2 linked regions of the Drosophila melanogaster genome follow. The protein of the gene in region 1 interacts with the protein of each later gene in a pairwise test. Each region holds a gene or a part of one and is shown on either strand. Other genes may lie near its edges.

Region 1 (16,384 bases):
TGCCAGAGGAGAAAATGGTGAAGTCCTTCGAGGATATTTGCACACCCAGTGTTCCGACTTCTCGAAATTAAAATGCCATTAGCACCGAGCTGGCGAAAGTGCGATGCGAGTGCGATTAAACAGAGGAGCCGACAAGGATAGCGGCTCTGGAATATAGCTGCCGAGGGTTAACTCCTTGCTGGATCTGCTCCAAGTGCCCCATTTGCCGCCAGGAGCAACCCGCCCTCGTATAAGGCGTATAAGGACCTGAGATTTAATGGAGCTGCGATTTTTACTCTCCAATAAAATCAGTGCGGTACTCGTGGTAATCGAGCCGTGCCAGCAAGCTGGAAGTGCATTTTTCCACTTGGGCTTTACTAAAGATCAAAGTTTACTTCGAAATACAAAAATTCTTACAAAATTCCAGAGTTTCTGTTCGCCAATAAGTAAATTATAGTGGGAAATGTATAGTTTCATCTTAAATTTGTGCAAACACAATCAGCAATCGCTTTCTGTTTAACTATAATTTTCTGAGTGCACATCGCCTCGCCGAATGAGGAAGTAAACAATAAAAAGGTTTTCAAGTAAATCAATATTTGAATACACCTTATGAGCAGCCAGTCCTGCGACCGGTTGACATTTTCCGGTTATAACCCAACCCATCCCGCTCAATACAACACCAGCACAACTTTTCCACAAACTGTTGGCATTTTCTTGCTTTTTTTTTGTTTTGTTTGCAACACTTTACTTAAAAACTTTTCACAGCAGTACCCAAAACAAACGGCCTACTCATGCTCATGAAGTGAAGGGACAGCAGGGCCTGGTGCCCAATCCCATACCCGGATGGGCGTACTCCTGTCCCATTCCGGGTTTTTTTTGCAGGGTGGACCCATTCACCCGACTTCCACAAGCCTCTTAGGAACTTTCAAGCCAAACAACCGAAGCCACTTTGCAGCACGTTCACTGTTGCACTTTTTTTCTTACCACTTGCCATCTTTCATTTTGCGGCATATTTATTAAAAAGCAAGAAGCGCAAAAAATGAGCCAAGGCAAAAATCGTGGATGGGGGGTAAATTCTTTTATATTAACCGAAAATATTTATTTTCTTGCTTACTTGCTGCCTTTTTCCCTTACCACTATATATTTTTTTTCATCTTATTTTGTGTGCGCACTTTTCTGATTAATTCCGTAACTATATATTTGCGCAACTTGGATGAAGTTTTCGGCCGCGACCACTTGTGAAGAGTGCAAAGCCGGAGACTCCATCCTTCCGAGCTTTGCTTTCCACTTGTACAGCCGGATTTCATCTGGCATTCTCTAGCATTCTGGTATTGTCGATCCAAGTGTTTGTGTGCCCCGCAACAATGAAGCTGCCTGCCAGTAATTTGTATGAGTACCCATCGTCGTCGCACTAATTAGGCCACCAGAATTGCATTAGTTTTTCGCATTCGGCACAAATAATTACAAATTGCAGTGGTGCACCGAAAAAAAAAGAAAATAGGTAAGCCCAGGCATCAAAAAGCCAATTGAAATAGTTCAAGGTTTTTAAAAAGGCGCGATGGTGGCCCATAATTACTTTCAATAAGTTTTGGCCACACAAACCATAGTGACCGGTGTGCTCGAGGAGACTTTCCCTGTCAGCTTTGATTTCATGGCTTGCCACATTTTCCGCCAAGTTTTTCCCATTTTCCCGCACTATTGTGAGCGTCTAGTGGCATCTTAATTAAAACGCTCTAATTGGTTATGTCTGAGAGTCGAACAAAAAGGCGAACTCTGCAAGTTTAACACCCCTTTGTGGGTCACTAAATAATTCCCAATTAAAAGTAAAGTCCACTCCTTTATCACAATCAAATTGGGAATTCAAGAACTTTGCAGCTTTGGCTCTTTTGAAAATGAAAAAAAAAAGAAGAAAACACCCATTGACTTCAAGCTCTTGGGGCATAAAGAAGATGTGACTCAATAGTATGAATATTTAAGCATGCAACAAAAAGCCGGACTAACACAGATAAAGTTGCTAAAACTTTCGGACAACAAAACTAACAACCGTACTAGGACTTAGGTGGAACAACGACCCACCGACCCACCGACTTTACCAAGGAAAATGGCTTTAGCATAATGCATAATCATTTAAACAAGGATATGCCTTGAGTTGAGCTGAGTCCTGCAGGCCGGCCGGGCATTCTGACACAACCCGGTGCAGGCAAGTCCGGAAAAATGCCTTTTATGGCCAATTTGAGCGGGAAAAGCTTGGCCCGCAGCTTAAAGCCAGGCGATAAGAACAAAGCAACCGAAAAGGTGAGCATCCAAGGACACTTTAAGCGCTCTCCTGCGTCATCCTGGCATGCCAGGTGAGCCCTAGTTGTGCTCCAACATTTTCGTATCTTTTTGGCCAATGTGTGCCTGTATTCCGATGCGGGCCCAATGCCCAGTAGTGCTATTCGCAGGAATATATTATCATTAATTTCGAATTATGAAAAAGTGGCGACGCATTCAACGAGCTTGGGGCTTTGAGCTAGGCTACGAACAAAAAATGGTTAAGGGTTAATATGTTGGCCAAAGTTGTATCCCTTTAATACAACGAAGTGTTAAGCATCTGAACTAAATGAAATGTTCTCCTTTTTTTTTTTAGCTTGGTCGTGTCCTGCGCAACTTCAACATCACAAAGATTAGCGATCTGGAGCTGATATCAAATTCCACCGATCGCCTGGACATCACCTTTCACTTCTTTGGCGTGAAAGGTGACTCACAGCGTATCCGGGATGCCATCACACGGATGGTGGAGCGCGGCAGGATAGGAAACTTCACACTGGTGGCGAATTTCCATCACTTCGACGAGAATCCTCCGCTCGGCTTGCTGGTGAGTAGCTAGTAAAAAAAGCATTTACCAATTGATTCTTACGGAATTCTACGTTCGAGGCAGACACTCGTAGTGTTTTATTTATAGAGCTCTACGCTGTCCTATTGAAATTTGTGCACAAATAAATTTTATATTTCACTTTGCACTCTGGGCACATCCATCAATCGGAGGCATTCCATCATTGATTTTCGCCGAATGGTATTTTCATTAATTCGCATCCGAGCCGGACCATCTCGGCTATTAAAAGCGTAATAAATATATATAGGGCCACCTACCCACATGGGTGGGTCACTACCATCCATTTCCGATACATATTAAACAATAATTTATTAACTATTGAGCCGTGTGCCGGAATAAAAACATAATAGCCAATGTAGCAAAGTGCCGTGTTAATAAATATGCACATAAATATGTCAACAGTGTGGCACTTGACACTCGAACCGAAAACGGCAACGAAAATAATTATTTATTAATTGCGGCCAGTTCGCCCGAACAATTGGACTCATCAGAGTTGGCCGGCAATTAAGTGGCATTAACATGACGAACAAGCCGCCAAACCTCAGTGGTATATCCCCCCCCCATCCTATCCCACCACTGCCAAATGTTTGACGGACTGGCACCCAAAGGAACACAAGCAATCCCAAACCGATGAGCTCAAAACCTCGAACCGAAAACCGAACCACAGCCATCCTGTGTCTAATTAGTGTGACATTGTCTCCCCTTTCGCAGGAGCTGACCGTCAATCAGCCGCAATCAGGAGTCCGCGAGGCCAGCGAGTTCATCATATCCTGCACGGCCCAAGGCTCATCCCGGATGCAGTTCCAGTGGTTCAAGGATGGCGCTGTGGTTAATGCCAGCAAATCGACGAGGTGAGTGAACTATATATATACATGTCGCAGCTGCTTATCTTCCACAACCAGCTCGAAATGCCATAAACTTGCTGCCCGCGTAATGGAATATGGAATGAGAATGGAGTAGTGCCTAGAAAACTGTGAAACGGAGTCTGGAGTTTTAATAAAATAGTATAGAATCGAAAGAATATGGCAAAAATCAATGTCACACTCGGAAAGTCAGAAACGGGTGAAGACGGGTGGAAATCGCGAGGGATGACTCTCGTCACAAGTGTTCAATTTGACTTTATGACTTTTACACATCAATAAACATGACATAAAAACGCCAGGCGGAATAAAAATGAAATGGCCAAAAAGGATAAATAAGTCAGGGCAAAGATAAAGATTTGTCAGTGGCCATGGACGAAGGACGGGGTACAAGTTGGTAAGTTGCTAGCTGGGAACTGGAGGCTGGCTGGGATACTGAGTTCTGGACCAGACCGAAACCTAACCGCAGTAAGCCTAACCGAATGATTGATCATAAATCCTACAGAGTGGGCCAGCCGGAACACATGTGTTGGCCAACATATACGAATGGCATGCCCATTCCATTCCGGAATGCCTCAGACTTCCGACTACAGGCTCCACAACCCCGCAATTCAGATCCACTTTCGGATCCACTTGGCTGGCGGGTAGTGTGGGTGTATTACATAAAAAGCATATGGCCGTAACTAACGAGGGGCTGTTACTTGGGCGACTTGGCAGGGGTTATGAGCAGCTTAGCCCTACCAGGAGCAACACCACCCACTTTCCGCCCGTCATGTTGCCTTGACAATTCGCCTTGCAGCCGAAAGCACCACCACAAAGCTCAAACTTTAAATGTGTTGCGTGAATGGCAAACGAGCGAAACGGAGGTCCTTGGAAAGGATTGGTTAAATGAGTACGCGGTGCGCAGGGCGGTGCAGATGCCGATAGAATTCGCAATTCATTAACAAAATTTTAAGCCTTGGCAGGCTGGCTTTCGCCATTCTGGGACAACGCGTTTTTGGAAACTACATGTCACGAAACGTTGCCAAAAGTTGTTTTTATCTGACCAGAAATTTAAATTTCCATTCTCTTGAAATCTAAAAATATCTAAAATTTCAAGAAAATGCGCGTATAAGCTGTTTGGTTAGGAAAACATTCGAAATGGATCGAACTCTTTAGGAATATAACTATTATATGGTAAATTGTTGTTTTTATCTTTGCAACAATTTAACCAAATATAGTTTGTATTACTTGTTATTCAATCGGCAGATGGCCATCAAATTGATAACGATGTGTTCTATTTTTATGCGGTATTCGAATAAAGGATTGTTCATCCGAATATTACCTTTCAAATAAATAAATGTATGGCCCCCATTCCCGCAAATCGATAACCAAATCTATTCTCGGAGTTCAGTTTTTGTTATCTAGTGAAGCCAACTATGCGTTTTCCAAATGCCAACTGCTACATAGAACAATTCGGACCCTTCCATGGCCATTCCGCCAGCTAGCCCCATCCGATGATGATGATGGTGATGGAGGAGGAGGTGGTGGTGGTGGTGGTGGTGGGGATCCGGACTTATGATTACTTTTATGCATATTTGTACGGATCCCCCACATGTACATGGTATCCTTGTTTGCTGCAGGACCTCCACGTGGCTGGCAGACCTTCCATCAGTTTCAGTTTCGCCCAGTTTGCGTGGCCCACTCGGACGCATTGATGTGTAAAAAATGACTGCCGTACAAAGCCGCAAACATGTGTTTTACTCCACCCAAAATCCCCGCAAATGGAGGGTAGGCAAGTATTAGTAAATATTTTAACTAAAGTGAAGTGAGTGAAGTCATTCATTTGGACATTTACCAACTTTGCATTATACAAACGACTACACATTAAATCCGTCCGATGACTTTACTTTTGCGTACTAAAATAACCGGAAGTAAGTGAATTTTTAATGCTTGATTTCACCGCAGGGAGATGTTCACTTGGGCAAATGCTATTTATTATCGAAATATGGCCAATACTGGCCATCTACTGATTAGTTACCACCGATGGCTATTGGCAACCAATTGGCACATTTAGACAGTTTGCTTAAGGCACGTATAAAGTAATTGTGTTTAGACTTAGATAAAGGACAATAAATATAAGTATACATATCTAGTAACATTAACTACATTTTAAGAATATGAAGTTTCGAGCTTTCGGAACACTATCAACCAATCCGTTGTGGCCAAGTGTAACGAACCTTATGTTCAGATACAGATACCTTTAAGCCCGCAAACTGAGGCGTTCGGCCGTTAATCTATTGGATTGCCAGTCGCCGAAATTGTGACCCAGTTAGCAGATGTTTATCGCAAGCGTCGTAGGCAATAACCCACTTAATGAATGCAATTATTTTCCAATCACGGCACTAAGGCATCCAAAGCTGGTTGCCAAGAGGCCCGCAACCATGGCTAACTGGCCCCAAACTCCCAAAACAGGGGTGGCTTTGATTAACATGCCTTGGCGTTCCAATTGCCATTTGAAGGCGGTAGGTACACACACACACACACACATGTGTGTAAAATAATCAATGGCCACGGTCATTAATTGCGCCCCTAATCCTGTGTCCTTTGCAATCTGGGGCGAGGATTTGCAGGACTACAAGGCCGTTGGGCTGATTAAGTGCCACAACAGTAGTAATACAATTATTGAAGCAGCGGCTAAGCAAATACTTCTCATTAAGCCAACTTCGATTGTCTTAATTGTTGGATTTTACTTTTCAAAAATATCCTTAATCGCTTGAAATAATCGAGGTCCTTTTATTGTGCAAACTACACCACTTTTTGCTTACTTAAAGCTTGCGAACACCTTTAAAGTCTGAATTGAACTGAGTTCAAGACTGAAAAGCAGCCAACAAAGATCCATTTTTCCCACATTTTATTTGCCTAACAAATTCCAGCTAATTCGATCAACAGGAGCTTGCTAAAAACTAAGCTCTGTACGTTTCTCTGACGTCTTTGGCATCGATGTGTTATGTAAAAGCGGTGCACAATTTGTAGCCAGCAAACCAATTGACCTTTTGAGGAAGGAATTTAGATTCCTGCTAATATTAGCTTAACCCTAAGCACTTGCGTAATCTATATTTGTCCCAGCGCCATGAAGTGGAAGGGCTTGACTGCCTGTCAATGCAATTTCAAACCCATCTACCCCTTGGCCCCCATCCCCTTTTGACTTTTCTGCTTTTCCCTTGGCCAAGAAAACATCGACTTTTGGCTTGGAAGCTAACGAAACTGTTGCAGTCACTTTTGGCCGTGCTCTGAAAATTTGTCAAACTTGCTTAAAAGCCAAAGCAAAAATTCAATTTCAGCAGCCATGCAGCGCGAGCAGCCAAATTGCCTGACCCCAGCAGCACCAGACATAAGTAAAATATATATCGTATATATTTTACAAATTGGCTCAACCCGGGGCAGCAGTGGTACAAAAATGGCAGCAACAAAGAGGCAACAACTGTCTTGACAACGCAACGACGATGTCGTCGTCGTCGTCTAAGGACAATGGAATACAGCTATCGAATACAGGGTGCAAATCGAGAGGAAGTGGTTGTAATTTGGTCCCACGAGCCTTAAGGATTTGGCGGGAAATTTAATCCGACGCAGCTTTCATTATCTACAGCCAATCAGAAAATTTGGTTGCTTACTTTTGCCATATTTTCCGTAAAAGATAGCACCCTGTTAACAGCTGTTTGGATAGCACTGCAGTCACACTGAAAAAAAAAACGCACTAAAAAAAGTGTATTTCAAATTTTAAAATAAGTATACAATTTTAACAAGGACTTTTGCCACTCTTCATGGAGTAGCTTTCGATTTTCATAGATATCCATGCAGTTTCTCTTAGTGCATAAGTATCCAATGTTGCTGTGGGGTCACGATTTTCATTAGTTTCATTTGCCACAATGCGTCTGCCATACTCGTCTGCCGAGTTCAGTTGCTCGGATTTGCTTTGCTCTTCCCGTGGCGGGGTGACAATGGTACAATTAGTGACACCATTCGCCATTCCTCCAGCACTCGGTTTGATTCAAAATTTTTGGCATTATCTCATAACTGGCTCAACTCGCGCTGTGTGCACTGTGCTCTCCTTGTCCCGTCTTCCGATTCCGGCTCCTTGGCGCCGCTTGTGCAATAAAAGGACGAAGCTCCGCGGCTGATTGGACTGCTGGTGGGACGGGTATTGATCAAACAGTTCGAGTTGTCGGACAAGGCTGAGACCCACTTTCCCGGGAACGCGTGTCCCACTGAAGGAACGCGATACAGTAAAATCCTGATATATGTAACTGATTGAGAGTTATCACTTAGTAAAAAGCCATTTACCTGTAGCCAACTTAATTAAAAGAATATCTTTTGGTTTACGTGCATGTTTCTAAATGATCCTTTCCTGCATCGAATTGGAGTCGCACCTACTGAAGAGTCACTGTACTTAAAAACGCCATTGAAGGTGGAACAGAAATATGCTCAGTTAGAGTGGCTTTGGTGCCAGGTACAGTTGTGCAGCTCCAAGTTCCAGCGATTACCATAACCTCATCCACTCAGTTAGCTTGTAAGAGTCGAACCGGGCGGAGGGCAACGGTTTTTTTGGCCACATAAGCCAAAAATCAACACGCTTGCTCCGTGTGTCCAACGAACCGGAGTCCGTGCATCGGGAACCGGTGGCGCAGTCATGCCCATCCACTGGGACTGGGATTGGGAGCATGATCACGAGCATGGTCACCATCACTGGCAACCGCCGCGTCGCCACTGGTCCACCGGGGAGTCCAAGTGCCGGCAGAGGCACTACTATCTCTCCCACGACCTGGACGTATGTGCGCGGGACTTTCACTTGCGGATGGACGACAGTGCCTGGTGCCATGGATCCTGTCTGGTTGGGCGAGTGGTCATAGAGACCGGCACCGAACCGGACTCCCTGGGTCGGGGCACCTTCAAGGTGGTGCTGGACGTGCACCACTTTCAGATCTCTGAGCTCACGGTGAAGGCCAAAAACAGCGACACCGTGTGCGTGGAGGGCAAGCAGGCGGATGACCGGGCGGAGAAGGGTCAGTTGTGCATCACTCGCGAGTTTACGCGATCCTACAAGCTACCACGGCACTACGATGCCACACAGGCACGGGCCACCTTCTCTGCGGACGGAATACTGATGATTACGGTGCCAGCACCACCGAAACTGGACGACGTGGAGCGCGAGATCGAGATTGAGCCCACGGGCAATTACTTTGGCAGCGTGTCCGATCCCACGGCGCCCAAGGCTATCGAGCAGGCGGATGTGGACGGCGATGGTGGAGAGGCTAATCCTGCTGGCACGGCGATGGACAAATGAAGCCGGCGACGTCTGGCGGTTGCGCGGCGGTTCCGCTTGCTCATACCAAAGTGGAGGCGGAAGTCCAAATGCGTTTAGGCCGCCAGAGGCAGTCGATCGGTTGGAGGGCAGTTGCAGTATATCAGACGGAGAGACAGTCGAAGCACATTCCAGTCACCTGGCGCACATGCACGTTGGAGTTTTTCGTGGAAACCAAAATCACTCGGATTGTTCCTGGGTTCCAGCTTAGATAGCACGTAGTCCTTCGTTCGAAACGTGAGCAAATATGGCGAAGTCAACATTTTGTAGAATTTTCTTAAGGTAGCTTCAATATAACGTTTAAGAGTTCATATCCGCTTGTGATTTTGTTTAACGCCAATAAAGGACTTTATCAGAAAACAGGAGAGTTTTGAATATTTCCAGATTTTTCGAAGAAATAATTTAACACCTTTAATCTTATCATTTATTTAAACGGTATTCTGTTTTATTTTGTACTGTATTTTGCAATGGCTGTTCATTTTCTTCGAGCTTAATTATTAAATATAATGAAGATGAACATTTCACTGGAAAATATATTTACATTTAATGAATTCTAAATCAAATCGGATCAAGGTATTTAAAGATAACAATGTTTCATTCCACCAAGTTGTTATTTCAAGTACAATCCGAATGAAAATATCCTCCAGCTAATCGGGAAAACAAACCCAAATCAGGGATAAATCATGCCTCTGGGAAAACTTCAGCTCGAATTCAAAACCCAAGCGAATTGGATTTCTCGCTGCTTTTAACTTTCCTGTCACGCAGCTTTTGATTAGCGTCAAATTTGAATAAAATTCACTAACACCTTTTGTGTTTTTCTTGTCTGTGTTCGTATCCTCGGGCACATGGCCCATAAAAAGACAATAAAGAAACCCAGCTAGTCAGCTAGAAGTGTATAATAGACGTAGGCATACGTACATATGTATTTTAGTTTGGCTATCGACCCAAGAAAATTCTAAAAAAAAGGGAATAAAACATAGCTACAAAGCTCTTTTCAAAAGCTATGAGATACATGAAAAGATTTGCAATTAAATGTCAGATGAAATGATTTACTATCTGCAGAATAAGTTTAAAAATAGTTGGGTAACAATCTTAAGCTCCAACATATTTTGCACCAAAAAAATAAAAGGCTGGGCACTTTGGGGCGTGTGACCCACTTCATAAGAACCCAATCAAGCCTTCGACCTTCTCCCAAAATCGTGGGCTACTGCTCCGTTTTTGATTCGGTCTTGGTCCCTTGCAATTTAGCCGTTGAGACACGTTTTCCCGTTACGATTCTAATGAAATTTGCTACATCTTGAAGTGAATTGTTGCAGGCCGCAGCGCGGCAGCTGAAAAAATTGCCAATTGAGGAGACGAGGTCGCGTACACTTTGTCATCGTTTTGTTTTTATGCGTAGTTGCGTTTAATAAAGTTTTTATATGGCGCCCTCGACTAAGAGGGGAATCCCCGAACGTAGTGCCCATCCTGTCGGATGCCCGGACGGACTGCCTGTTTTCTAATCTAGTTACGATGCCTGCAGCTTTAAGATATTGGTCGGGGGACTCACTTTCCGGGCCGTAGGATATTCATATATTTACGAGTATGGCGAAGGACGCGCGATAAAATATTCAGCAGAAAAGCAACTTCACAATTTCAATTTCCCATGCCATATTGGTGACGGCGGGGACAAACCAAAATAACACAACGATAATAAACACCTACACACCCATTTTATGAACTCATAAAACACTCCGATGGAATCGGAATCGTATATTTTATATATATATATATATTGTGCGTGTGTCCGTGCTTAAATAACTGGATGAGGCCTACAGCCTTGTTGTCCATAAAAACGCACCCATATGCACCTCTTCCGCTCCCGGGATCTAGAGAAAACATTGACCATCATCGACCATCGCCATGGGCCATTTCCATTGTTGTTTCATGGTTTTTATATTTCCCGGTTCGCGACTCCGCAGAAATCGGTATGCGGCTCACAACTAATTTTTATTTTCTATGCCCTTTGATCCACTGCGGGCGCCGATTGGAATGTTCTGCTGGCAACTTTTCAATCACACACTACCACTACTAATCAAATATCCCCGGGGATTAGCCAACTTGTAGATGAGTTGACGGTGTGCGTGAAGGACGGGACACCTAATTACGCAAATTGATGCGACATTAGACGGTAACGGAGCTGGAAACTGGAGCTCTCTAGGGGGATAGAATACTGAAGGACTTGTTTCCGCCAGGGGATCTTAGACGCCGACTGTATTGACATGTAGGAATATATAAACAAACATTTCGCATGCCGAGTTGATTTAATGGTAAATTGAAGCTTAAACATTTAACGGTGTCCTTTTCTATCCTTTTATCAAAGTGCAATTTGTGAATGAGCATAGTAACAACTTAAAGTTATTTTATACTTGCTTTAAAAGCTAGCTAATACCCATAAAGTGGTTTCAAGTATAGCACCTGCCTTTGTTTCGATCATTTGCCCATGTATCGAACTATTCGTGAATAGTGCTAAGTGGGCATTACTGGCTGGAAAATCCGTGATTTTGGAGCATGTACAACAGAGTTTGCTGACATCGTAAGACTTCGCCACCAATGCCGACATAATTGGTCCATTGAACCTTACAGCCAATGCGTTGTTATGAGTTGTTTGACCAGCAACCAAAGCACATCAGCTCAAATGAAGCGCAGATTGGGGATTCCCCCCCATCAGGGACTAGCATCCTGCGGACTCGCATCCTGACAGCCGACTGGCTGTAGTTGTATTTACAGGACACGCACACAGACACGCGCACACGCCTACGCAAAGGCATTTTGCGGGCCATTTGTAGCGCTTTCAATTCCGGGAAGCGGAAAAGGGTGCGGGTACTTGGTACGGGGATTGCGGAGGAGTGGCAAATGCATTTTGCAACCGCAGCCGACAACGGAACGAAACGTTTCTGCCCCGGGAGCAAATTCAGTTGCCGGAGATGGTTACGTGAGGCAAATCGCATTGGGAAAATGCATCATTAACAGGAATGAAGCACCGATCTGTGGAGGACCGAAGCACGAAATACCCGAACTGAAAATGCCATATGGTTATAAGCTGATGAATAATAATACTAAAATAATAATAAAAGTTACTTAGCCACACTATAAGTTTATATTACTTTCGCAACTTTTGCCAGTCCTGCCAGCCTGGCATAAAATAAAAATATCTTCAAACAAATCCAAGCGAATGTCGTTCGAACTTTAAGATTATTTGGCACACAGCTTATGGGCTATTGTGCAGATAATCCTGCCCAGATCCAGATAAATACATGCATTAAGGACTCGGATATGCTTCCTTTGTTTGGGGGCCTTTCACGCAGTATGCGTATATCCTTGGCAGGGAATCGAATTGAGCACACACCATGAAGCGAATCGAATGGGCTCCAGCCACCAACGACCCAAATCGAATAATGTTCAGCTGTTTCGCAGCGATATTAGATAGCAACCAATTCAAAAGAGAGAAAACCACCAGCTCCTTTGGACATCACGTACGCATCGCTGAGGTCCTAATCCTTCGTCCTGCGTTGCAATTGCTGCAACTGCAGTTCCACTTTCGGCGGGCAATGCAGTGGCATTAGTGGAGCTGCTGCGGCTTAGCCAGCTTCCTGGACGGCCAGGACGTTCAGGGTGACCAGGACAATGCAGGACGTCAATGTGCTATTGTGCCAAAGTCGATGTCAATCCTGCCTGGGCCCATTTGCTGTAAGCGAGGCCAAACAGGACCTGTGGCCGCGTTGCTGTTTTTGCGGTTGTTGTTAGCGAGTCCTGCGAGGACATCATAGTTGGCACTGCTTCGCTGTGGCTGCTGCATTGCATTTAAGCGTTACGCACTTCCGGTTGGGAGTGTTATTACTTCCGTTGCCATTTAATTGATTTTGAAGGTGCGTGTTTGGCGTTTGCCCATGAGGAGCCGCAAAGGAGTCCTTCCGCCCGTTGCCATTAGTAAATTGTAGGTTAAGTGCTCTGCATGCCCAAAAACCCCAGGCCCATTCCCATTCCCATTCCCATTCCCACTACCATTCCCATTGAAAACGCATTTTTAGACGCCTCTACACCTGTAAATAGCTGTGCCAAAGGCACTAGGTACGCCAGTGGGTGTGCGGTTAAGGATGCGGTTTTTGGGCACTTTTTACCGCCATGACGTCAGCGCTATCCATGCGTAAAAGTTATTAGTGAAATGCACTCAGCCGGCGGAAGAAAGGCGCAAGAAGAAGAAGATGACGAGGTGGAGCGAGGGAGTCAGGCGGAAACTGCTGATGTTTGTTGGCCACGAAAACCTCAAACAGCACTTAAGTTGTTGCCAGCTGGAAGGTTTTCGGTTTTCGGCTTTCGGTTTACTTTGCTTAGTGCTCATGGAACGCAATGCTGTGCTGCCACCGCCACTGCAACCAGGTGCAATCTGCGATTTCCAGCTCTCCGGAGGATTATGAGCCATGCCCGTGAGGAGTCTAATAGGCTTACCGTGCATTTTCGACAGTTTGCAGAACTTTTGCTCAAGCCGCTGAATTTAAATTCGCAATTACCCGATTCCACATCGCTTGTCACAGACACGAGCACTGCGATTCTCGCTAAATTGAATCTCAGATTATATATAAAGTCATGTAAGTACGTAAGTGAGAGTAGAAGTCATCTCATCAACCAGCCCATTGATTGATTCCCGTTGGCAACGTTTCATTCTCCCAACATTTTTGAGCCAGACGCATTCGCACATGCAAGTACGAGACTGCAAACCGACCCATTTATCCACAAAACCAAAAACTATTAACAATTTTAGCAACAATGCGTCGTTGCAGCCGCATTCAGGGCATTTGGAAAAACATTTGAAAATGAAACATGTTCCCGCTAATTGACTTCGAACCGCAGCATCCGCGATTGTTTCCCCATTAGCTATGATTTCTTTCGCCCAGAAAGCCATTGGCTATGGTATAGGTGGGGGGCTATGTGGATATGGGGTCGTGATAAGTGAGCTGCTATTAGTGTGTCAATTAGCGGGCTTGCTGCATATGATCCAGTTCACTTGGCCCGGGCGGGCTCCATGGAATACAGCTGTGCAGCATATGGGGCATATTGTATTCGCCATTTGGCATTTGGCTGGCTGTCACGGGGCGTGAGAATTAATGCACGACTGGCGGTGTGCGAATCTGTTTCAAGTACTTTCACTCGCAGAAACCGAAAGTGGAGAAGTGCTAATTAGCATGACTAACTAAGGCTTTCATCTGCTCCTTTGCAGAGAAATCTGGACCACGGTCCTGCCGCCCGAAACCAAAGATGTCTACACCGCCATTCTGGGCGTGACCAAGGCGAGTCGGATCGACGAGGGCGTCTATAGCTGCAAGGTAAGTTATAATATAATCATATCTCAGAGATACTTATTCTAAGGTAGCACTGTTTGTATTCGAACTTTAACATAAATTTAGCAAATTTTTTATAAATTCTATAGACAATTTATTTCCGTCTTTTGTATCACTTTTGTAACTAATTAAATTCTCTATGTGACATTTAAACATTAATAAATTAGATACTACTTTCATTTTTGTAAAACTCGCATAGAATTCGTAACTAGGCCAACATTGATTCTGGCCATCACTTCCGCATCAAAGCGTTTTAAAAAATATCCATGTCAATCCGGGCTGATGATCTGAAAATGCCACTTGGTCCTTTGGTTTTTGTTTTTTTTTACAGCGATTACGGTTCCCCGGGCACTTTTTCAGGCCTCGTAGTATTTTCATCTGACTAATCAGTCTAATTGCCATATCATAACAGCACAGAGCTATTCCGACTGTATTTAGCGCGTCTGGAAAAAAACGACATGCCCACCCAGAAGGCCACACAATTACATTTGGCTTTGCTGCGTTCTGTTCACGGCTGTGTTCTTCATTTTCGCTATAACGTTGCTTTTAATTAGACTAATTAAAATATGTTGGAGCGACGAGATAGAAAGGAGTGCGATGGCGAGCAATGTGGCCATCCATTGCACTTGAATGCTCTTTCTCGGGACGGGCCAATTAAATTTTAATCTATGTTATTAAACATTCTTTTGACTGCGGTTTCCGGGGATGAATTTACGGGTGCCCAAAGATGATTTTACGTTCCGGATTCACTCTCACTCGCTTTCTCTCCCTTTTGGCTTACAGCCCAGTACTAAATAAGAGTTTTAAATTGTTCCGGACGATTAGACCCAAAACTGCCCTGCTTCCTGGGACCCCAAATCCTGCAGGACCCTTCTTTATGGCTTAGGTAATAACATATTACGCAAATGGCTTGTAAAAAAATATTGGACCGCCGTAAAGGAAGCCACGTGAAAAGTTTCCCAAGAAAAGTTTGGACCACACAAGTACGTGGACACATGACCAATTCACTTGGATGCCAAGTTAGTTATAAATCAAATGGTAATTTGATTGCCTGCTCACGGTAGATTGTAATAAAATGTTTCCCGTTTCATGTGTATAAATCAAATTTAGAATTGTTGCCAACTCAATTGAACTTCGGCATTAGCATAATGGCTCTTGATTTAATACGAAACATTCTGAAGTAATTTACTTGGATTTAAAAAGGCACACGAGATTACTTTAAGTCGGCATCGTAATCAAAAGGGGAAGTGCAACCACAAAAAGCGTCAGCATCTGTTGCACCACCCAGCTGGCATTTCTTGGAGGCCCCTGGACCCATTGTATTTAGTGCCTGGTCCGAGGCTCTCCAGTTCCAGTTCCAGCCCAAAGGGGGATTCCGCTAAGTTCTTTATGGGGGAGCCTACGCTTTGGCCGCTTTGTGCCTTTGGCGAGCCTCGTGCCGCTCACTTATTATTGTCCTGGCTTCGCCGTAATGACGCAACAGCCAGATCAAAGGCAGGATGCCAGGATGCCAGGCTGGCAGGACGAGGCGAAACGCTCGGCAGTTGCAGCAACAACTGAACGATAATCACGAGGAGGGCCGGAACGGAGCTGAGTGTCCGAACTGGGTCCCCGAAGGTCGATTGTGCCCACGTCTCGCAGCTGTTTGCTGAAAACTCGAGCGCATGAATCCTTTTCAATAACACCGCCTCGGGGTCCAAGTCAATAAAGCGCCTGCCAATGCCGCCACCACGGCCCATTATGAGAACTTGGGGACTTGGATGCATGTCCACGTCCATAAGTTGTCCACAGCAAAAACACAAGAATACAAGAATACACACGAAAAACCCAAACACTTCTAATGGGGGCGTGTGCCTTTGCGCATTTATTATTTATGTATTGATATTAAGTATACGCCTTGTTGCAATTAATTCATCTGCCTTGGGGGAAATCGGTCGTCTCGGGTCCATTA
Region 2 (17,172 bases), on another chromosome or scaffold:
AACAACTTGTACAAGTCCGAGTGCCACATGCGCAAGGAGAATTGTGGCAAGCATGTTTTCGTGGTGCCACTGAAGCGCTGCCTTGCCGCCTTTCAGCTTAAAGGATGTGCCCGCATCTGTCCCAGGGAATTCGAGCCTGTTTGCGGCAGCGACAATAAAACGTATCTGAACGACTGCTTCCTGGAGATCGAAAACTGCAGGGCGAACCAGACGGTGAACGTCAACTACTACGGCGCCTGTGGCCGCCCCGAAGCACCATCCACTAACTTCCTTTACTAGGACGTATGTATGCGTGGCGTCTTCATTTCACTTGGCATTTAATATTTGTAGGCTATAGTCTTGTATTGTACTTTTTTTAAAACGATATTTATTGAGTTTGAATTAAAGCCCCCCAACGAACTTACAAGGAATGCACTTAAAGCCTGGCCTGCATTTAACATCTAAGCCGAATCATCAAAGAGCTTGCTCAGCATAGCGTTGATCTCGTGCTGTCTGTACTTGACGTATTTGTCGGGATTCTTACTAAAATGCACTCCAGAGTAACTAAAAATGATACAAGATGGTTAGGTATAAGCTGATAAACCCTATATACGCTTACATTTCGTAGAATCTATTGTAGATGGGCAGTATGTGCTCCACATTATCACGTTTGATGCCTTCTCGCAGGATCACATCGGGTATGGAGATGCCCCGCTGGATTTTGCATGCCTCCTCAAAGTCCTTATTGAAGTTCTGGAAATTATAGAGGATGTTTTTTTTTAAATCAAGAAAGTTTAGCTTATTTTAAAAATAAAAACCTACAGAAAATCTCTCTTTGAGCACACTGCGATCCTTATCCTTGACCTTGCCGGCCACTGGTTTGGGCAGTTCATCCAAGGAATAGATGCCGACCAGCATCTTGGACCAGGTCTTTTGATAGCTAGCCTTCAGTTCACGTATCATCTCCATGTAGCTATGTTCGCACTCAGGCTCAGCCAAGGTGACCAAATCAATAAGATTGGAGCGTTGCAGCGACTTGAGGATATAGTGAATGTTATTTAGTCGGAAGAGGTGCTTGGTGGCCTGGTCATTGTACTGCTCGCACTTGTTCATTATGGAAAGATTCAGTTCGGCCAAAGCTTTCTCTGCAAAATATAGATAGTGGTTTAAAAATGTTCGCACAATTGATCTTGTTGCCACTCACTTATGTAAATCGCCAAGAGCGCCTTATTGCGTTCCTCGACTGGCAGCGCCTTCTTCATCAAAATGGTGTCCAATTGCGTGGAGTACAGGACATCCTGTGCCAAAATGGAACCAATAACATCGAAATGATCGTACAAGTGCTCAATAAACCAGATCGTATTGGAGGTCAGCTCGTGCACGGTGGCATCCTTTGGAACATTGCTTTGGCCCACAATATTGGTGCTCGATTCGCCCTTGACTACGTCCAGGAAATGCTCCAATGCCTTGGCACCGGTGTGCTGCAACTTTTTTAGTACTTTTTTCAACTGTTCCCTTTGCGCAGGATCGTATGTGCGGTCAATATCCGGCTGCAGCAGTATAACCCGCTTTAGGGCGGAGAATATTCCCAACGCCGAGGTCCACTCCTTGCGGGAAATGCAGCGCAGGATGCGTTGCGTAATGGCCTCAGCGTCCTTAACCACCAGATCGATGGCATTATAGGCCAAGGTGGCGAATACCTCGTTGTGTTTCGACTGGGGAATAATGTCGATCATGATGGCTCGCTCCCAGTTAAGTAACCGCTGCAGTCCCAGCAACATGACCAGATACTTGTCCAGTTCCTGATCGCCATCCATCAAATCCTCGGAGGTCAGGTGGTCGCTGTGCGATGATGCCTTCTTAATGGAGAACCCTGTGGACTGCTCAATCGTCTGCGTCGCGCGTAAATATAACTTGTTCGCCTTCTTTTCGAATCTATGCAGAATAAATTAAATATATCATATACGAAAACTTGGAAATTAAGTAATATTTCTCACATTTGCTGAAGACGAGCGGAGGTTGTCTTTTTTGGCTCCGTTTGGCGTCCACTGTGTCGCGGTCTCTGCAAGAAAACATTTTAAAAACATTAATTTGAATTGTTAATTGCCATTGCATTAATGTTTCTTCGGAATAATTAAGGTACTAAAATGGTAGCAAATTAAAAACTCTTATTTTTGTAACCTTTTAATATGCATTTGATTCTTATGAGTTTATTAATTTTAAAAATGTGTGTTTTACAAAAGCGTTTATACCCCAATTTTTTTTTTTTTTTTTGACAAAAAGTATTATGCAATTTGCTAGCTTACGAAATAAATTTAAATTTGTAAATGAGCTTCGGAGCAACATTTTAGGAATTACATAGATTCTTAAAGTGTACTAGAGTTTATTATTTAAGGCTAAAAACGACGAGCTTTAAGACACCAGGTCTTTTACAATAATTCTAGAATACCTACTTAATTATCCACATATATTAAAATCACAAAGTTTCTCTTCACATAAAACATTTTAAAATCTTAGTGTATGATAAAAGATGGACATGCCAGCGATTCACTTAAAGAGTGTGGAGCACATCCATGATACGGTTGCAATCCTCATCGGTATTTAGGCCGATTTTAACAAGATCAGCACGCTCCAAGGATGCCAGTTCCACCAGATCGATGTGAGCCTCTTCGAAATTGGTCACATAGTTCTCCAGGCCCATGTGCATGAGAATCTGTTCCACATTGGCGGCATGGTTAACCACGTACGAGTGGTTCGATGCTTTGATGGAACGACGACGCGACTCCAAGGCCAGTGAGGTCTCCATATTCGAGTCATCCGAACAGGTATCCGGGCTGCTGCAGCTCTTTATTTCTCGCTCCGGCTCGATGATCTCCTCCTGCGGCTTGGGCAGCACGAATGGCGGGGGCTTAAGCTGAGTGCGATGGCAGTGCTGATGCTGCTGCTGCTGCTGCTGCTTGGGATGCACCTTCGTTGGCACTTTCTTGAAGGTAGCGAACCGCATGGGCGACACTGGACTCTTCCCCTTCGTGCCCATATTCTCGATGGGCGAGAGATTGGGCGAACGGAAGTTGCCAAAGATCGGAGTAGAGCATCGCACGTTGGAGGTGTTCACCTTCAGGGTGTTCCATCTGCGCTCCTTTAGCGTTGGCGTGCGATTAAGCGTAATTTTGGTCTTGTTCGTGGGCGTGCGAGAATTCTCCATTTTTTTTAGATACTGTGACACAGAAAATGATGCGTTCTTTGCGAATTCAAGCTGGCAAATGGCGGTCATCGAATTGGACATGTAATGCTTACATGCACAAGCTTTTTCGAACAGACACCGTTAACCGAAACGATCAGAGATGGGAAAAGCATACATATGCTCATCATCGTACACATCGCTATTCATATTCTACTACGTACTATTTTTCTCCACATAATATATATGTATTAATACTAGTTAGAATATGAAAGAACTGTTTACTCACCAGAGCCTCGTGACCCCAACTGTTGCTCTTTTGGTGATCCTTGAGCAGCTGCAGCGATCGGAGAACCACTTCGCCCCGTTCCGTCGCGTAGATGTTTGTGTACTCCCTTAAATTTTGCTCCAACCAGTGCGATATGGTGTACAGCTCCTCGCGCGTCGTTTGCGAAAGCTGCCGGAATGAGGTGTATTCATCGCTGGAATCGTCCTCTATGTAGATAAGATCCAGCAACTCCACCGGCTTCAGCGGAGCACTGTGCTTCTTGAGGAGCATACTATAGTGCTGACTCAGGCCTTCGCAGCCGGTGTTAAACAAACTGGTGACATTCTCCAGCTCCACGCTCTGGGAATTGTTGTGCCGGAAGTAATCGTTGGCATCGCGCAGTTTGGCTAGTGCGTCGAGGAACACCGAGATGTTTCCCTCCACCGGGCCTTGATGAATCAACTGGCAGACCTCTTGGGAGACATCGTAGTGGGACAGGACGCTTTCCAGACAATTGAGAGTAGCTTCCAGATCTAAAAAAAAAAAGAGGCGGTGACACATTAGTTTTTTTTTTTTGAAATCCCATTGAGTTTATTTTCATACTCTGCTGCCGTTTCTGGAGCTGCTCCGTCTCCTGGTAGACGGGCAATATGGTCTGCTCCAGGTTTCCCAGGCGCTTCTCGAAGATTGTTAGAATACTGGACATTTGCGTGGACAGATCATGGTATTTATCCACTCGATCTTTCAGCAGAGCTAAATTGGTGGCTTCCTATGAGGAAAATGGGTAAGTATGGAGGTTTTGAGCATGACAACTAGACATACCTTCTCCAATTTATTGTGCGCCTGCAATGAACTGTCCAAATTGTTCATTTTCAAGCGTATATGTAGCTAAAATCCTTTAAAAACAAACAATAGTTCTGATATAAAAAACAATTCTATTTTATTTTGTTTTGACGAAACTAGGCATTTATGCACACTGGCTTTGGTCATACTGTCAATTACCGCGTTGCCAACTACTTTGCACGAAAAAAAAAATTATAACGGTCATTTCAGATAGTAATAGAAACTTTTTTTAAATATTGTACACTTAGACAATTAGGTAAACGATAATGAGGCTATGTTTTAAATAAATTGTTTTTACTACTAGTACTAGTTTATTAGTCAAGTCCTAGTTTTAAAAGCCAAAACTAACGGAAAAACCCGCCAAACTGCCATCTCCAGCCAAGACGCCAACTTTTGTTGTGGTTGGTTGCCATGGAATCTGTGTGTAAACAACGCACCTGCATTTAGGAATTTCTACCAACTATGCAGGATTAGCCAATTCGACTTCTGCAACAATGAGGGGTGTTCTCAAGTGGCTGGAACGCATAGAGTTTCCCAATAGCAAAGACAATGAGATCAGGTAAAGCTTTCTCATTCGTGGAAAACAACAACCTGTTGCTTGCTATAACGCCATAACGGTATTTGCAAAACCCAATTTTCCAGTGTCCACAATGTGTGCTACGCACCCGATGGCAGCCAATTGGTGGTGGCTGCGGGGGATCGGTTGCTCATCTACGATCCAAACGATGGCTCCTTGCTGAACACCTTGAAGGCGCACAAGGATACGGTCAATTGTGTGGCCTACTCGCGGGATGGCAAGCGGTTCGCCAGCGGAGCCTCCGATAAAATGGTCATCGTGTGGTCACCTCAGCTTGAGGGACTGCTCAAGTATTCGTGAGTTCTCAGCACACTTGCAATAAATTCTAGTTTTTTATATAAATATAAAAATATATTTACATTCATAGGCACGGTGACTCCATACAGTGCATGAGCTTCAATCCTGTTTCGCACCACCTGGCCTCGTGCTCCTTGTCGGATTTTGCCTTTTGGTCGGCTGATCAGAAGGCGGTGCAAAAGTACAAGATATCCGCGCGTGTCAATGGCTGCTCGTGGACCAATGATGGACAGTACCTGATCCTGGGCCTGGCCAATGGCACCATATCCATTAGGAACAAGTTGGGCGAGGAGAAGGGGAGAATCGATCGGCCTGGTGGGCCCAACAGCAACGTCTTCAGTGTCCAATGTTGTCCGGCCAGCGGTCCTGGCAGTGTGGACACCATCGGTGTGGTGGACTGGAGCCAAACGCTATCCTTTCACACTCTGAGCGGCCAGATGATTGGCAAGGAGCGAACCCTGGGCTTTGATCCCTTGTGCCTGCAGTACTTTCCCAATGGGGAGTTCTGCCTGGTGGGCGGCTGCACTGGAGGTCTACACTTCTTCACCAGGGAGGGCATTCGGCTGGGTACGTTGGGCGATACCTTTGACACCTGGATCTGGACAGTTGCCCTACATCCCAATGGTCAATCCTACACCATTGGGTGTCAAGATGGAACCCTGGCCTGCTTCAACATTGCGTCTAGTACCGTGCATGCCCTCTACCGCGAGCGCTATGCCTTCCGGGAAAACATGTGCGACGTGATCATTCAGCACCTGATCTCTGGCCAAAAGGTGCGCATCAAGTGTCGAGATTTAGTTCAGAAAATAGCCATTTATCGGAATCGACTGGCGGTTCAGTTGCCGGAACGTGTGGTTCTCTATGAGCTGAGCTCTGGAGAGGATCAACCCATGCACTATAAAGTGCGCGAGAAGATCCAGCAAAAGTTCGACTGCAGCTTGCTGGTTGTTTGTGGCCGTCACATTGTCCTGTGCCAGGAGAAGCGTCTCCAATGTCTGGATTTCATGGGTGTCCTGCAGCGCGAGTGGATCATGGACTCGTTCATAAGATACATCAAAGTCACCGGTGGCCCCGTGGGAAGAGAAGGACTAATGGTGGGCTTGAAGAACGGCCAAGTGTTCCGAATCTTTCTCAACAACTCACTACCACTGCTCATCACCACTGCGGTGTCAGCGGTTCGCTGCCTGGATATCAATTCGAAGCGCAGCAAGATCGCAGTTGTGGACGATGTGGGTCGCTTGGTTGTGCGGGACGTAATCAACGATACAATTTTGTACCAGGATACGGGTGTAAACAGCGTCACTTGGAACACGCACCTGGATTCGATGCTCTGCTATACCCACACAACAGGCGGATTAAGCGTTCGCGTGGGGAATCTGCCGCCGAGGGCACCACAGAACATGCATGGCGTGGTGGTGGGGCTTTGCGGAGCCACTGCCTTCTGCCTGCGCGGAAATATTATGCACAATACGCCTTTGGCTCTCGGTTCCACCATGTGGCAGTTCATCGAAGCTGGATTGTTTGAGTAAGACATATTCCAATTCTGCTTGGAATCTCCTAATAAAAGATGTTATATTTTATTTCAGCGAAGCCTACCAGGTCGCCTGCCTGGGCGTGACCACCAGCGACTGGGAGGGATTAGCTCAATCCGCTCTGGAGGCACTGCACATAAATATCGCTCGCGATGCCTACGTCAAGGTGAGGAATCTTCCGTGGCTCAAACTCATCGGTGAGCTACGAGATCAGCAACAGCGATCGGCGGTTCCTAAGGAGGTACTTCTCGCAGAGAATTGCGCCTTTGCCGGCAAGTTCAAGGAGGCAGCTCGTCTATTTCTCAAATGCGGCCAGTCCTCAAGAGCACTTGAAATGTACACAGATCTACGTATGTTCGATTTAGCCCAGGAGTATATTAAGGACGGCACCGACCAGGAGAAGAAGGAACTGGTACGCAAGCGAGCGGAATGGGCATATTCGGTTAAGGAGCCACGAGCTGCTGCGGAACTATTGCTTTCAGCTGGCGAAAATCAGAAGGCCATTGATATTGTCGCAGAGCAAGGATGGGCCGATGTGTAAGGAAATCAAGAAAATTGCACACATATCGTTTATAATAAACCTAACTTCTTACAGGCTTTACGATATCGGACGACGACTGAGTCTTACGGAACGCGATTCCCTGGAATCGGTGGCCCAGAACCTAAAGACCCTCAAAGCTCTTCCCCTGGCTGCTGAGATTTTCAAGAAGCTGGGCGATGAAGCCCAGGTGGTGCAACTGCACATCGAGGTACGCGACTGGCCGGAAGCATTTCGTTTGGCGGAATCGCTGCCGGAACTTCTGCCCACGGTGCACTACCAGCATGGGCAATGGCTGGCCGAAACGGATCAGTTTATAGAGGCGCATCAGGGTGAGTTTATAACTTTTGTTATGTTTATTTAATATAAAAGTTTTACTTTTCAGCCTACATAAAGGCAGGACGCACCAAGGAAGCCAATCGTTTGCTTAAGCAACTGAGCAATACGGCCATCGTGGAGGAGCGCTACTTGGATGCGAGCTACTTTTATTGGCTGCTGGCCAAGCAACATTTAGATGTATATCACGCCAAGGAGTAAGTGAAATATTACAATCAGTGCACTTCTTAATTTCTAAAACTTTTGTTTTATAGAGAACAAAATCCTGTTGATCACCACCTTACGGAGTACAAAAATCATTTACGTGTTGCCAAGGTTTATTACGCCTACAGTGTCATATACTCATATATGAAAGAACCATTCACCACACATTCCCCAGTTAGCCTATTTAACGTAAGCCGCTTTATACTAAACGAAGTGGAGCACAAAGGTGTCCCCAAAGGTGTCAGCATGTTGTAAGTTAAGAGCTCAAATCGCAAAAGTAGAACGTGAATCGACAGAAATCCTATCTTCCAGTTCGGTTCTCTTCACTCTGGCCAAGCAAGCTAAGTTTTTGCAGGCCAACAAGTTATGCCTTCTTATTAACAAGAGACTGCAGTCGTTGAAGCCACCAGCTGGAGTCCAAGAGCAGATTGATGTGAGTGATGTGAAAACATTAATCATCCAAATGATATGCTTATGAAGTACCTTTTCAGCTAAATTTTCTAAATAGCAAGGCTTGCAAAAGTGGCTTCAATGATCCGGAGGAGCTTTTGCCACTATGTTACAAGTGCTCCAACTACAGTCAACATTTGAATAGCAATTGCTGTCCCACTTGCCGGCAGGATTATATTTTCTCTTTCGTTTCCTTCGGTATGGAATTTTGTCTATTAGCTTAGATATCTGATAATGATGATGCCTCTTTTTAGAAATTCTACCCCTAGTACAATTTTATCCAGAAGTGGATATCTCTGATGCCGAGGCGGAGCGCTTGCTGCTGGCTCCTGCAAAGCACGCCGAGGATTCGGATCCATTTAACGAGGATGTGGCCAGTGCATTGCCTTTGAGCTTGGATCGCAATGGCCTGCGTGCCATAGATCCCAATCATGTGCTGATTCTTAAACGGAGGGGAAAGAATGTGCGGAATGTGTACTATCGTAATATATTACCCGATCTTCAGGTTACCTATTGTCCTCAATGTCTGCTGGTAAGGTTATACAAACCACATCATTTCATTTCGTATATTAAGTAACCCTTTTTAGCTTTTCTATGCGGAGGACTTTGAGCTGCAAGTGCTGCAAAAAGGTCACTGTCCCTTTTGTCACACATCCTCCGAAAAGCTGATGGAAGACTTTTGAAATCGACATAAGAAGTGTGTGCAAATATATAATTTCCGTCCAAAACTGTACAAATAGGAACTATACGCAAATAAATACGGTGTTACGCCCAGGTTTCCTCCTGATATCGTCGCTGTTTTATCATTAGTTCCACGTAATCGGCATCGCCATCTAGTATCTCGATAAAGGCCTCTTTGACAGACTTTGGCATATTATTGGAGTTGCCAGCCACGTAGATATAGGCATTCAGGTCTTTTATAAGCCTCGCCAGATGAGCACCATTCTTGGCGATTAAATGCTGGACATAGACCTTCTGATCCTGATCCCTCGAGAAGGCAGTATGGGCCTCTACCTGTTTCGCATCGGTCCAGGTGGAGAAGTCATTTCCAAAGTGGAAATCGGCAGCTTTGTTCCGACAGCCAAAGAAAACAACCAAGGGACCAATTGTGGCACCTTTTGATTGAGCATACAATCGGTTTTGGATAATGCTACGGAATGGAGCGATGCCTGTGCCAGGTCCTACCATTATAAGTGGTATACTTAAGTCTTTTGGCCAGACCATGGTTCCTCTTTTGACAACTCCGCTCAACTCAGTACCCGATTTCAAAGTCTTCAGCCAGTTGGAGCATAAGCCCAGACGTGGAGTATGCATTATGGTTTTGTACTCCACAACGGCCACCAGCAAGTCCAAACTTAAGGCGGAAACATCCGAGGCAATGGAAAAACTGCGTGGCTGGATCAGTGGCATCATCTCAAAGAGCTGTTGCAGAGTTAAGCTAGAGGTGGCGTGCCGGAAATCCTCCAGAACCTCCAAAAGATTACGACGCGGCCTGTTCACATAAGCCACTAAGTCATCAATTCCCTCCGCGGAGGAGAATTCGAGCAGCTTTTCCTTTTCCATTTCATCGCAGCAATTCTGTGCTAGTACCTCGAGGAAACGTTGCCGTGGCTTAGCACTCAAGTCCCAAACGAATTTGGCGGCCTGGAGGAGGCTTAAGGGATTGGAATAGGCTATGGGAAGGGGCATATCCTGATGTGCACTGGATACCTCCACTATAGTGCTCTCATCGAAGTTCAGGCTGTGTTCGCGAATAAGGTCGAAGAATGTTTGGACAGCTTCATCGCTGTTTTGCGGCTGAACATCGAGTACATCGCCGGGTTCCCAGCTAAGATCTTCAGTCTGACACTGCAGCCTTAGGAAGCGTACATCCTGAAAGTGATCCACCGCCGTTGTTCTTTGGTTATCCAGAATTTTGAAAGAGTGGGCAGTTTGTTTTTGGCTCCAGAGCAGATTGTCCATCGGAGCAATTTGGGAATCCTTAGGCAGCTCCTTTACTGACCACTTTACAGTAGTTTGGTGGCTGTTGCTAAGTTTACTTTCGTCAAGACCAGAGATGCCTTTCAGAGCTGTCCACAAATCCTTTGTCCAGCTAAGGGATACACCCAAATGCCCGTAGTCATGCTGATCATCACACAGACCCACTGGACACACGCTATTTGCTCCCAGATTCTGTAGTCTCTTGCTCAGTTTCTTGGCGGCATAGTTAAACTTCGGATAGCTGGAGTCCCCGAGTCCAAGGCACGCGAACTGCATGCCTTGCAAGGATTGGGCGGGTAAGCTGCGCTTCAGGAGAAATCGCCAGGCCAGCTTCATGTTATCCGGCTCCACTCCGTCACCCGTAGTGGCCACCACAAAGACCACGAGGCGCTCCTCAATAAGTTTGGTCATATCGTACTCGTCGAAAGGCAGCACGGGTCCTTGGAAGCCCAGTTGATGCGACTCCCGCCAGATCTGTTCCGCCACATCCTGGGCGGTGCCGGTTTGACTCCCGTAGAGCACTAACAGCCGCATTTTCTACAATTCAGAATTTTCGAATAAAATTTACTGATTACCGTATTTCATATGTTACAATTTGCGCATAACAGCCTGGTCCTCAAACTTAACAGCACGCTGTTACGCTGCACTGTTATGTTATAGAAACTACGGGTGCCGAAATACCAAAATAATTGAAATTGAAATTAGTATTTCATTCATTCGTTTCTAGTAGCGTTGTAGCTCTTCTTCTTTTTCTTCGAATAGTGATGAACCTAAAAACATCGATAGTCTTAAATGTCGATGCATCGCCACCTCTAATAGAAACGCAATTAAACATATTGCATTGTTTTGCGTAAATAAAAGTAAGTTTCGCAGGCAATGGCCTCGAATCAGCAAATCAATACGCAGCTAAGCAAAAAGCTATCCTGGCTGTTGCGGCACGGTGCGAAAACGGAGGGAATCACGATCCGTGCTGATGGATTTGTTAGCGTTCCCGATTTGCAGAAGCACCCACGCTACTTGTGCTTCACCTTAGAAAAACTGAAGGAGATTGCCGCCGCGGATGCCAAGCAACGATATACTCTTCGCTGGAATCCAGAACTCGGAGTCCATGAGATTCGCGCCAATCAGGGACACTCATTGGCGGTGCTGGAAGGCGAAGCTGGCGGTCTCGAGAATATTACCCATGTGAGCCAGGTACCCCTGGCAGTTCATGGCACCTATTACAGACATTGGGGGGCAATTAGAAGCCAAGGGCTAAGTAGGATGAACCGCAACCATGTGCACTTTGCATGCAGCGATGAGACCAATTCCACTCTGAGTGGATTCCGCAGCGATTGCCAGATTTTGATATATCTAAACGTGGAAAAGGTGCTGGCGGACGGCATACCCATCTATCGATCCAGCAATAATGTACTGCTCTGTCCGGGAATTGAAGGCTTCATACATAGTTCCTACTTTCAGCGTGTAGTGGACAAGAAAACGGGGCAACCCTTACAAATTGATCATTGTTATTGAATAGAATAAACCTGGCCGTTAAGCAGTAATTAAAACGATTTTTTACAGAAATGCCGGCCCCTGCCTCGGAATCAACTTCTCCGCCTGGGGATGGTGACGGTAATCTTGTGCTTTGCATGGTATGCGCTGCTCCCTTCCGGAGTATGCAGGATTGCCTTGCCCACGAGCTGATCAAGCACGCCAGCAAGCCACAAAAGCAACTGCGACAGCGATTGAACGCCATTACCAAGCTATTTAACAGCGCACAAAGCCAATCCGAGCGTCAAGAGCTGCGGGAGGCTCTCGAATGGTCCGAGTCCGGCGGGCACTTGTGCACCGTATTGAATTTCTTTGCTTGTGATCTCGAAAATATGAAAACCTGCTTCGGGCACGTCCGGAACTGCATAGAGAAGGAGATGAGGGGCAGGGTTAGGGTGTTCCCCTTTGGTTCACTGGTTACGGGTTTAGCACTGAAGGGTAAGTGATCACCAGTACAAGAAAAGCACATAATCCGAATCCTTTTCCGCAGAGAGCGACATCGATTTGTTTCTGGAGCCCAACGGCAACCAGCCACCATTGTTCCATAATCAGCTATACAACAAGACCTCACACTTTTTACGAAGATCCAAATGCTTTGCGGATGTCTTCACCATTCGTCATGCCAGCGTGCCCATCATTAGATGTAAGCATCAGCTCACCGGACTCAACATAGACATCAATATGTCAAATCCGAATAGCATATATAACTCCCGATTTGTGGGCGAACTGATGTTTCGCAATGAGCGGATACGCGAGCTCTGCCTGTTTTTGAAAATTTGGGCCAAGAAGCTAAAATTGATTAGTCATGGCGGCATGACAAGCTATTGCTTAATATCCTTGATCATCGTTAACTTGCAAGTGAATCGACTAGTGCCCTCCGTCAAAGAGCTCCAGTCACTCTGTCCACCGGTTATTTTGTCGGGCGTTAACTATGCCTACAGCCTGGACCTAACGCCGCCGATCCCAGCACGGCTCACCACGCTGGATTTACTTAAAAACTTCTTCATATACTACTGCACTGTCAACTTTGACAAAAGTGTATTGAGTCCGTTTCTGGGCGGCTGTGTGGACAAGGAGACAACACTGGGCATGCCGGGAGGTTTTCCCGAGTACGATGAGCAACAAAAGCTCGTGCATGATGCAATAGGTGCGCCGCCAGACGCTTTCCAGCTGGATAGGGCCATGTGCGTACAGGATCCCTTCGAGCTCAGTCGCAACGTGGCCAAATCAGTGTCCATTTCAAATTTATGTTACTTTAGACAATGCCTAGTCCTGGCAGCTCAAGCGTGCAGCGATCAGGAACTAACTTCGCAACCAGAGAAGCTATACGACTACCTATTATTTGGCCTGGCGGATAAGTTAGTAGCCGACAAAATAGTGGCAGATAAAAGATCAGAAAGGGCTACGCCGCGAAAGCAACAAAAAATTGAAAACGCCCATGTGCAACCGCCAATCGTCGATGAGACACAAGAAACAAAAGTCGCCGAAGTCGGAGTTTGTGGGACACCGCCCTTAGTGCGATCACACGTCATCACGCCCACCACAAACGATGTCAAATGCCTGCGCTCCATTGTGCTGGTCAAGAACACGGAGAACGATCAGAGCATATATTACTACTGGTTGATCTGCTACGTGGACACTATAAAGGATGTGCTAACTCAACTGTATGCTTTGAATGTGGAACTTAAAGAATCGAAGGAGCCGAAACACTACAAGTGGCTAATCAGCATTTCTTACGACACTTGGACAGGACGCTCTTTCCAACGTGGCGCCGGTCAATCTTTCTTCGCCCACCAGTTGCAGCAGACGATTGAGTTTACGAAGACGAGAATGGGAAATCCGCAGTACGCAGTCAATTTGCGCGGCTATTTCACGCTGCAGGCCAGCGAGGATTACAAAGAGTTGCGCCTGGATGTGCAGCCTCTTCAAGGAGATCTCCTCGGACTGCAGCGCAATAGTCCGCTAACAAGGCTTTTTAAGGCGTTTAAGAATCTCCTGGGCAACTATAGTTTCAAAGAGAAGGTCAGCACCTGGAAGTTTTGCGCCACAACTGACCAAATATGAATATCAACATGTCATGCTTTATGTACATACTTTTTGAATTCAATGGCAAATTGAAAACACACCTTAATGACATTATTAACATTATTTTATTTGAATGTACAATATCACTATAGGCTAAACTAATACCTTAAATTATAAGTGTAACGACGACTAATCATATGTAAAGTTGACTAAACGATTTCTTGGCAAAAGTCTCTTGGAGCAGGGAGAAATTATTTACAAGGGCGACAACAAAGCTTATCTAAATCATTTACAAGTGTGTGTCTGAAACTCCCCAAGAATAATAAAGAGGTTATAATTGTGTAAAGTAATCACAAAAGTCTTTGAAGCGTAGGGAGTTCAATTTTGAGTATACTTTCTACTGGGGGCTAATCCAGATACTTTTAGGCATAGAGAGAGGAAGAATTTCTATTGTATAGTATTAAGTTAATTGTACTTTTAGATCGTAATCTGAGTAACGGCACTTGGGCACTAGCCTTAGTTATAATCCTGATATATCTATCCCTTCTTCTTTCGGCAATAACAATATTTTTTGGCAGCAAAATCATTCATGCAATCCGCCTCTCCGCTGTAGACATTCAATCGGCTCACCGATCCGGTCACCTTTACGGAGTCATCCGTGTGATTGTGTCGCAACGTGGCTTCGTACTGGCCCTTATTGGGCGACGTGACAAAGATCAGTCGATAGGTGTGCACCTCATCCGGATCGAGGGCGTTGTGATGCGCCCGGAACGCGGATTTGATGCTGTGCAGGGAGAGGGGGGCACATAGCTTGGCAAAGGTGCCGTTTCGGAACTCGGCCACATAGTTATTGAGATAGCTGACCACACGCTTGCCTAGCATCCGCGACTCCTTCGAGGTGCTCGATATGGTGTCGTATTCCCAACAGGTGCACCAGTGATCCGCGATGCCCACATCGGAGCAACTCCTTTGCGGCGAGACGGGGGTCAGTAAACTCTGGCATTGCGGGCAATCGGGTGCCGGACCTAACGATTCCATTTCAGCGCGCCCGGATATGGCCAGTATGTGCTTCATGGTTAGGTGTAGGTCGTAGGGCGTGGTCAGGCGATTCCTGTTCAGCTGGAGGCTACGCACAAATTGTGGATGTGAGCGACGCAGGTGTTGGGGTAACCAAATAAAGATGGCCGGCAAACGTTCCTCCAAGTGACCCGACCAGGTGGCCCTCGTCGGTCCGAACCGCATGCCATGATCGCTGAAGAACACCACCACCGTGTTCTCCATGGTGCCCTGGCGCACAAGCTTCCGCAGATACTCCTCCATATAGCTGTCCATACTGCTGGTCTGCGAAATGTCACTGTGGCTGTGCGTGTTGGTCCAGAAAAATCCAAAGTATGTCTCGTTAAGGAACCTCCTGGTGAACTCCAGCCCATAGTCGTACACATGCTCCGCCGCCGTCAGATAGCCGAGGCAGTGCACCAGACCATTGACCGTCGTGTGATCCAGCTGTGATTCGGCGGCGGAGAGATATGGCCTCAAGTAGTAATCCGCCGGCGGATTCTTGAAGCCCTTCTTTAGGTAATTGAAAGTGTTGATCTTGACGGCATCCTCCGCGTAGGCGGTCACGTAGCCCCTCTGCTGGTACTGCTTCCAGATGTAGTCGCACTTGTCCAGGCCACCAACCACGAATGGCGAGCACGCGTGCATGGCATTGGGCAGATTGTAGCCGGTGAGCACAGCCATGATATTTGGAAATGTATTGTCGTCCACCTGGGGACAGGATGCGGATAAGAAATCTCAAGTTCTTCCATATCATGTACCAGTCTCACCTTATTATAGCCCGCCAGTTCGAACCATCCGTTGTCGTAGAGATACTGAGCCGTTTTGGGCATGGCTCTGATAAGATTAACACGGGAGATGCTATCGATGCCGAGCATCAAGACGCTCGGAGGTCTCTGATAGCCCTTGGCGTCGGCCTCGGACGCCATTCGTAATCGTTGCTGCACTGCCTCCTTGACGGGAACCGTCGCATGGCCATTGATATAGATCTGACGGCCACCTGAATCGCACTTAACGATGATGCCCTCGGCGGAATCGGGCAGCAGGATGCTTCCCTTGAAGGTTTGACACTTGGTGTACTTGACCTTCATCTCGTCCACTCGCTGCACCGACATGTAGCAGCAATGGAGCTGCTTGCCCACCGGGTAGCGACCGAAGGCCGCTCCATCGATGCTGAGCAGGTACTTTTGAGACTTTGCCTCGAATTTCACCTGCGTCAGGGGTGTCAATTTCTGGCAGGACTTGTATTTGATGCGCTTGAAGTGCCGCATCACCTCGTTCTTGTACGGATCCACCTCCATGATGCGGCAGGAGTTGCTGTACACGAGGAAGCCTTTCGGGACAGATGGATTAGTCTCAGTAATGGGCTCAGGTTCAACTGGACGGGTGCAAGCACAAACATAAGGAGGGAAAAACAAAAAGGGAATACCCAAATCATAATTACTGGCATGCAAACTATAAAAACCAATACAACAAGAATAAAATAATTATATGGTCATTCCATCGGTGGACTCACCATCCATCACCGTCGATTGATGCTGCACGGTGACGTAGTTATCCGAGTGCAGGACATCCAGATCGAGGACATTCACCCAACCGGTCCGGCCGATTAGAAAGTAGCAGAACGTGAAGGAGACCAGCAGTCCGAGCACCGATTTCCTGCTAACCGGAAGTGGTCGGTGCTGGATGGCATGGAGCACTCCTCCTGCCCGTCGGGTCATGTGTACTTCCGGCTCCTCCGACTCTGAGGTGGATGGATCCAGCAATAGACGTTTCTCTGCCATGTCATTTAGGCTCTCGTCTATTTATAATCATAAATCAAATCACTTAGTTTAGATCAATCCGACTTTACTTTACTTTAATGGTAAACTTAAAATTTAATTTAAGCAAAATTGAAATGAACGTAAATTACTTTTATTGAAAAGATTGCTGATCAAATTTATTATTTTCATATTTTTATTCTAGAGAAATATTATTATTTGGGTTTAAAATCATTAAAGAAAACAGCTGATCGTAAAAGCTCTCGCTACATTTGCAGAAAGTCACGCTAATTATAATAACAAATACACATGTTGAAAGCGAAGTAAGCAATAAGAGTGTAAGTAAGCTAAAAGTCGAGTGTTGCGGCTATAAGATACCCATTACGCAGATGGTGAAGCGCCAGAGAGATATGCAAGTAGCAAAGCGAGTGCTGACCGAAATCGGTATACTCGCTTCTAGGGTATACAAAATCAAAACATTATTTAAAAGTGTGTGAGTAACCTGTTACATTCTTTTCAACGAGTCTAGCATACCCTTTACTCTACAAGTGAAACAACAAATTAACTTGTATTTTGTAAGCTAAGTAAGAAAGGCTTATTTACATAAGTTTCA

What was found.
Region 2: the proteins of CG13133 (region 1) and CG13667 interact in a two-hybrid assay, tested with the Drosophila melanogaster proteins (one large-scale study listed by BioGRID).

Annotation. Positions count from the first base shown.
Region 1 is NT_033779.5:10,084,235-10,100,618, reverse strand, and holds CG13133 (uncharacterized protein), read left to right. Parts: upstream 1-8,229; 5' UTR 8,230-8,383; coding exon 8,384-9,037; 3' UTR 9,038-9,411; downstream 9,412-16,384. Other genes in the region: CG44153 (uncharacterized protein), read left to right, coding at 2,609-2,836, 3,566-3,705, 14,313-14,418.
Region 2 is NT_037436.4:8,399,087-8,416,258, reverse strand, and holds CG13667 (uncharacterized protein), read right to left. Parts: upstream 10,806-17,172; 5' UTR 10,778-10,805; exon of another isoform or gene 10,723-10,777; 5' UTR 10,720-10,722; coding exon 8,971-10,719; 3' UTR 8,905-8,970; downstream 1-8,904. Other genes in the region: CG32354 (uncharacterized protein), read left to right, coding at 1-279; mtrm (matrimony), read right to left, coding at 2,531-3,184; Exo70 (exocyst 70), read right to left, coding at 441-543, 599-732, 802-1,124, 1,184-1,914, 1,977-2,041, 3,450-3,961, 4,032-4,197, 4,251-4,298; Oseg1 (outer segment 1), read left to right, coding at 4,766-4,830, 4,914-5,144, 5,216-6,670, 6,732-7,214, 7,273-7,547, 7,601-7,748, 7,806-8,006, 8,068-8,188 and 3 more; Tpt (tRNA 2'-phosphotransferase), read left to right, coding at 11,062-11,700; mkg-p (monkey king protein), read left to right, coding at 11,751-12,156, 12,209-13,782; CG7120 (uncharacterized protein), read right to left, coding at 14,281-15,510, 15,570-16,177, 16,316-16,583.